Linked DNA regions of Oryzias latipes. The main gene of each other region encodes a partner of the protein of the gene in region 2 in a complex. Links are inferred from orthologs where the notes say so. Each region holds a gene or a part of one and is shown on either strand. Other genes may lie near its edges.

Region 1 (3,657 bases), about 25 Mb from region 2:
AGAACCAGCAGCTGGGCCCACAGTCCAGACCGGCATTGGACACGACAGTACTGTTGTTACTAAAGCAGAAAGAAAGAAAAATAAAATCCCCATTTCTTCCTTGTCTTTACCTGCTCCATCCTGTTCAGTGTTGTGGTTCAGCCGAAGAACTCATGTCACACGTGAGGCAAACTCATGATCACCAAGAACACGCAAAGGAAGAACATGCAAACACCATGTGGGCAAATCGGGTGACATGTAAACCTTCTTGCAAATAGACAGAATCCCAGCATGCCTGAGAAAGTAGAACTATTCTACTGAAACAGCTCTCCTAAAGGTCTCACAGCGGCTCATTCTGCCCACTTCACTGTTGTAGTGCTTCTGGACCTGAAATCTGCATTTGATACTGGATATCATTCCATCATCATTGCTTGCCTTCATGATGGTCTTTCTGGTTTTTTTTAAATGGCTTGCCTCCTACCTTTTAATGTCGTTGTAGGTTCATTAACCTCTGAGATGGGAATTATATCTTATGGCATTCCCCAGGGTTCTGTCCTAGGTCCTATTATATTCATTTTAAATATGATTCCTCTTGGGAAACTAATTAGCAAACTTAGCCACCTTTCTTATTATTTTTGTATGAACGACATCCAGCTATATTGCTCCTTCCCTGAAAAAAAGGACGACAGTTTGTCTAACTTCTTTGCTTGTTTAACTAGCATTAAATCGTGGATGGTCAGTAACTCATTTATACTGGAATGGTCAGAAGACAGATGAGCAAATGTTTGTCCCTGAAAACAAAATCTGTCCGATCAAACAACTCATGGACTCTCTGAGCTCCTCTGTTAAGTCTCAGAGACCTCGGGGTGACGTTTCACAAATTCATGTTTCTGGAACATAACAAACCGCCAAAATTTGTTTCTATCATTGACCGTATAAAGGGAACTGGACAGAGCGGGTGTGACATCACCAATAGAAAATGCCTTACTTCCAGCTCCAATTAAATGAAGCCAATTCGGTCTCCATTTTAAACCTAGTCGCCATGTTGGAGCCAAACGACAGTGACCGGTCCGAGTTGGTCTCAGTCTCGTTTCTGGGGCAACTACTGTCATCAGTCAGGAGCAAGCTTGTTCGAAGTCCACACCCCTTCCGCTGATAGCGGGCTGGGGAGAATCTGTCAATTAAACATTGAGGTGGGGGCCGCGGGCACCACATTCTTTCCATTGAGGCATCTGATTGGCCAGTTTATTACTTGAGTAACTTGCGATAAAGAAAAAATATGAAAAAAATTAGGATTATCTAGAAGAGGTTAAAAAAGGTATCAGAGTAAGAATGGTTGTCCTGACCAATAGAATGACTGAGTAACCGCTGTTTATTTCTCTATAGAAGTCTGTGGGATTTTGGCTAATTGGTACCAGCGGCTACTTCCTGTTTGGAACACGGTGTGTGTGTGCTAAGTTCAGTTCTCTTATACAGTCAAAGGCTTCTATCACCTGAGAAATGCGGCACAGAATGAAAAACCTTTTTATCCTGACTTTAGACTAACTACTTGTTTTATTAAAAGCCCTGTAACCCTTTTGCTATCCTATGCACTTTAACATTGGGAGTTGGGTCATCTAGACCCACTAGACAGTGCTCTGAACCTTTTTTCTTTAATGATTTGTGATCTTCACTGGTGTCCATGGATTACATGAAATCTTTCCACTTTTATCCACCTTTGTCAATGTAAGGGTGGGGTCATCTAAGATAGCACAAGGGTTAAAATGTGTTCACCTCATTAAAAATTCTGCGGCGAGGCTTTTTACAGGTGCCAATAAACGAGCTCACAGAACTCCTCTACTGTCCTCTTCACAGTTAAACGTAGAATTCATATTAAAGTTTTACTTTGAGTTTTTGCAGCCTTGCACAGAAAAACAACTGCATACTGTAGATAAATTGTTTTTTTTACTGCGACTAAATCTTTATTTGAGTCTGTCCTATGAATGAGATGATTGCTCCTATTTCCCCTATGATTTTATGTTCTCTTTTACTATTGTGAAGCACTTTACTTACACTCTTGCCCATGACTCAAACCCAACCCATCTTCAGTCAACTTACAGTTTCTGGCTTGGTAGCTCCTGACTATGTTCTCAAGGTCGTACGCACTGGCAAAGGGGCTGGAGCCATCTATCACCGACACCTAAACGTCAAAGAAGAAAAATAAATAAAAACAACTGAGCAGATGCAGATCGGATTTCCATGTCTAGATGATGGAGAACGCAAAAAAAATACAGAAGAAGTGAAATGGTGGGAGACGTGTTTTCTTTTCAAAATCGCACTTTGTCAGTTTCCTCTCACATTATAGATATTGTAGAGCCCTCTGTGGGGCAGGGGGGTCCTCTGCTGCAGCCTCAGGTCCCCGCTAATAAAGAGTTTGGCTCCAGGGACAGGAGAGGCGAGCTGCACGAAAGCCAGACTCTGCATCACGACTGTGGACATTCGCTGAAAAAGAAAAGCACATCACTGAGATGTTCTTTAGCTGGAACATTTACAAGCCAGTACAAACTACCGAATGCCTCCCAGGAACACAATTGCATTTACCTGGGGGTAAATGCATTCTTGTAATTTTAAGTTGTCATGGCAGCTACTCATAAATACTGTAGAGGGTTATTTAAATTGCTCCCAGCTTTGATCTGTTTCCTCCAAACCTCACACCCCCAACCTTTCTCTATAATCACCCTGACCTGAGAGATTCCAAAGAAAAATTCTGGTGTACGGCAATCATCCTTTAACCTTCTTCAATAACTACAAATATTTATAAAGTAAATACTTTATAAATATTAAAACATAGTGTCAAAACCAGACCTGGAGATACTTATTCATGCATTTGTCTCCAGTAGGTTAGACTACTGTAACGGCCTGCTCACCGGCCTCTCCAAACGAGCTGTAAAACAGCTTCAGTACATCCAGAATGCTGCTGCTCGAGTCCTGACCAGAACCAGGAAGTATGATCACATTAGTCCTGTGCTCAGGTCTCTGCACTGGCTCCCTGTACCAAAAAGAACAGACTTCAAAGCAGCTCTGCTTGTGTACAAGTCTCTCCATGGCCGAGCACCAAAGTACATCTCTGACATGTTAGTGCCATATGAACCATCTCGTACTCTGAGGACCTCAGGGGCCGGCCTCCTGTTGATTCCCAGAGTCAGAACTAAACAAGGGGAATCAGCGTTTCAATATTCTGCAGCTAAAATCTGGAACAGCCTCCCTGAAGTCGTAAGACAGGCCTCTTCTGTGTTCATGTTCAAATCTAGACTTAAAACATTTCTGTTTAGCCGTGTATATGACTGAAAGGTCCTATCTGCACTTTTCTTTCCTTTCCTTCCTTTATTTTTAAATCATTTTTCAAATTTTTTCTTTTCTTTTAAAGTAAATTTTACGTTGATTATTTCAATGATGTATTGTGATTTTAATGCATTTTTCTGTTTTGTGAAGCACCTTGAATTACTTTGTGTACGAATTGTGCTATACAAATAAACTTGCCTTGCCTTGCCTACTTGGCAGACAATCAGAAGGAAAGGTGCGATTGGTTTAAGAGGTCCCGGAGCAGAGCTGCAGGCTATGGTGGCAGTTATGAAACGTTGAGGACTCTTCACGTCATATCTGAGTCATGCATTAGCGTGCTGGTGCGGAGGCCGAGGC
Region 2 (3,657 bases):
TTCATTGTGGTCGACATTCGCAAATCTAGTTAGCATCAAAGAATACTGTTTTTTTTCCCAAAAACCTTTGGGAAATTTCTAGGACATTGGCAAATGCAAAACGCACTATATAGTGAGTAGTAAAGGAATTTCGGACACTACCCATATTTTTCTGAGGATTGCATGAGACACTGGCCTACACAGCGACCCAGACTTCACACTGAACGACCCAAGTGGGTTTTCCTGAGGTTTCTGTCTAAACCACAGACTTGCTGAAGGCACCACATGCTACAACCAAAACATTTCCAAGAACCTGAAGGTCCTCCAAGCATTGGTAAAGCTGGCGGTTGGCCAAGTTGAGCTTCCTCTGAGTCTCATCGGCCTCATCTCTGGATGGTAGCAGAACTCTCTGGTCCAGCTCTCTACGATAGAAATCCACATCCTGCTGCAGTTGCTCGTTCTGTTGTGGCACAGGAAGGAGGGAATTGATTTCAGGAAAAAGAGAGGAATGTCCTACAATTATAAACTAATGCTAAATAGCTATCTTTTCCACATTTCACTATTTGGATAGCGTTGTCTTTTGGACAGCCTGTACATGTCATGGTACACCTTCAACCTCATGGATTGCAGGACTGCCAACTTATTTATGCTAATGGAAAGGTAGTGTCAAAGCAAATACTGGAAGATTAAACACTAGCAAACTCATGCTAACCAAAACATTGTTTTACAACACATCACTCCCTAGAAGTCTTACCTTTTTCTTATGTTTTTTCAACTATACCGTGAAGCAGAAACCCAGAAGACAGGATGAGCAAAGACGGAGGATTTGAGTGAAGGTTTTAGGTGAAGTCATGACAAAGTATGAAGGGGATAAATCGTTATCTGAGCAATGTATTTCTGCTTCTGACATACCTCTCTCTTCAGCTTCTTCACCTCGTCTTCAGCTTCCTCTAATCTCTTCGTCAACTACGAAACCAAAAGCAAGGTTTAATACCAAATCCTTCATTTGCATTTATAGTTCAAATATTTGTCAATTTCTACACAATAAAATCTTTTCTGCAAGTTTAAATAAAGCTAAAAATATTTACCCATTAATAGAATATCAATTGGAAAAGTCGTATCAACAATTTCTTTTGGAGAAAGGCCAAAACAACATTTATAAGCTGATCATTTCAAAATGTGACTATCATTGGATTCAGAAAAGGTCACTGCCACATGTCAGGATAGAAGAATGTATTTAAAGGGTTCACCAGTGTAAAGTCCCATTTTAAACATTACAGAGGATCTTTAAAAGCTCAACTCTTCAGCCTGACTTCTATACGGAGCATTTGCACAATGGGTGGCACACGCTTACCTCTTGATTGGTTTTCTTTTCCTTTCCCATGCCTTTGTTTAACTGGGTCAAGTCCTTCTCTCGTTCCTCCAGCTGGGCCTCGAGCAGCCGAATCTCCTCTCTAAGAAAGCGAGCATCTGGCCCAGTGCCGAGCTGCTTTGCCATGTGGACCGGAAACAAGACAAACACAATCCCAAACAACTCCCACTGGGAAATCTTTTAGTCTTTCATCACCTCCATCTGTTTACAGGCCTAACATACAAGCTTGCCAACATTCTTGTTCCCTTTAACAGAGATTGACAATTATGTTTTAACATTTGGAGGATGACTGTGCATGCCATAGTCATTTAAAACAATCTAAACCAAAACACCAATCAAGTTAAAACAAGAAATGAATGTGCTGTGCGTGCATGGAATTAAATGTAATCTTCTTAGGTGCTGTGTCTCTGTGGTCACTACAGCCAATCCTGTGGTGGCCAGGGTTGCACTCTGTGATTGGCTCAAAGAATTGGCTCTGCTGCCAGAAGTAAATAGGCATGAAAAGTGATTTCACGTCACATGCATGAATGACGTGTTTTTATTTCTTTTATTTTGCCTTATTAAATTTGCAACAGTGGCTGCAGTCATGCTTGCAATTACAAAAAGAACATTTTAGTAGTTCTTGGAAGAACACAGAGCACTCTGCAGCAATGCACACATGAAGTGCAGAGGAACTAATGGACCAAACTAAACCTCAAAAGCCTTACTTACCTTTAGATCTTGTTCCAGCCTGGATATCTTTGCGAGGAATTCCTTCTCTAAGGGATACAGAAATTAAAAGCTGTGTTGTTTGTGTTTTTTAAGCTAAAAAGAAAGCAAGGTAGGTGAAACCGTGCACTGACCAGTTTTGGCATGTTGCATGCCGATCTCATTTATGAAACTATCACTGAGAGCAACTTCCCGATCTTTCCTCTAAAGGGAAAAGAGAGTTGACTTAAAAATGACAGGCACGTATCAATAATGGAGTCAGCATGTGTCCAAACAAACATCTGCATCAAGACTGTGTCTTGCACATAGAATCTTCTGTCTTCATAGAAGACATGCTGGTGGGGCAGTTAACAGATGCTCAATGTAGAGATCAAAGTGTAGAAATAATAAAACCTGACACCTTCAAGAGGGCCTGACACACCCTGAGGATGTGAATAATGTCCTCTGGAGCTTTATCCTTCACCTCCCATTCTTCTGTCTGTGTGGAGAAAAAATGGTTCAAATGGCAGAACTGCCAACAGCAGAGTCATTTTACATCATAATAAAACAAAAGTCCAAACTTAAACAGCGAGAGGTCAAACCAAGAGTGTCTGTTTATTTACAGCCTATAGGATTATTGCTACATACACACATTTTTCCCCAACTCATAGCAGTTTAAAGACACTGTTTATATTTTAAAGCTGAATCAGCAGCAGTGGGCTGCTATGTGAGATCTCCAGTGAGAGCAGGCAGAATCAAAGCTGCTGAGTGGGTACATTCTGCTGACTTAGCCAAACAGCTAAAGGTTGTCTTCATCCATCTATCCCACTCATCCGGGACCAGGTCGCAGGGGCAGAAGCCTTAGCAAAGGTACCCAGACTTCCCTCTCACAGGTCACTTCCTCCAGTTCCTCTGGGGGGATTCCAAGGTGTTCCCAGACCAGTCTCTTCAGCCTGTCCTGGGTCTTCCCTGGGGTCTCTGCCCAGTGGGACCTTCCCAGGGAAGTGTCCAGGAGGCATCCAGACCAGATGCCTGAGCCACCTCAACTGGCTCCTCTGGATGTGGGGGAGCCGCAGTTCTACTCCCAGCTCTCTCTGGGTGACATGCAGCCACCATGCAGAGGAAGATCCTTTCAGGCGGTTGCATTAAGGGCCTTGTTTTTTCGTTCATGACCCAGAGTTCATGGCCATAGGTGAGTATTGGAACAAAGATTGATCGATAACAAGAGAGATTCGCTTTTCAACTCAATAAAAAACCGACCATTGACTGAATAAGAGAACTGGGCAGAGTCAGTGTGACGTCACCCTTAGAAAATGGTTTAATTCCGGCTCCAACCTAATGCATTTAATTAAGTTACCATTTTTCACAATACGGTTCCACCAAGTCGGAGTCAGACGACGTCTGCAAGCAGTAGATTGAATGGTCCGAGTCAATCTGAGTCAATGTCTCTATGGCAACCACTCTCACCAATTAGGAGTACCGGTAAGCTTGTTAGAAGTCCATTCCCCTTTCACTAAAAGTGGGCTCGGGAAAGTCTGTCGATCATACATTTCCAACATTCGAGGTAGGGGCCAGTGGGCACCACATGCTTTTATTGAGGCATCTGATTGGTCTGTTTA

Evidence for each region.
Region 1: cep290 (region 2) and tmem231 share a complex: the UniProt entries of both Homo sapiens proteins name them as parts of the tectonic-like complex. The link is inferred for Oryzias latipes from reciprocal best matches to the Homo sapiens genes CEP290 and TMEM231.

The regions. Positions count from the first base shown.
Region 1 is NC_019864.2:27,564,823-27,568,479, reverse strand, and holds part of tmem231 (transmembrane protein 231), read right to left. Parts: intron 2,461-3,657; coding exon 2,317-2,460; intron 2,159-2,316; coding exon 2,077-2,158; intron 60-2,076; coding exon 1-59. UniProt on the Homo sapiens protein: Transmembrane component of the tectonic-like complex, a complex localized at the transition zone of primary cilia and acting as a barrier that prevents diffusion of transmembrane proteins between the cilia and plasma membranes.
Region 2 is NC_019864.2:2,329,192-2,332,848, forward strand, and holds part of cep290 (centrosomal protein of 290 kDa), read right to left. Parts: intron 2,538-3,657; coding exon 2,460-2,537; intron 2,264-2,459; coding exon 2,194-2,263; intron 2,110-2,193; coding exon 2,063-2,109; intron 1,466-2,062; coding exon 1,334-1,465; intron 946-1,333; coding exon 892-945; intron 755-891; coding exon 734-754; intron 440-733; coding exon 293-439; intron 1-292. UniProt on the Homo sapiens protein: Involved in early and late steps in cilia formation. Its association with CCP110 is required for inhibition of primary cilia formation by CCP110.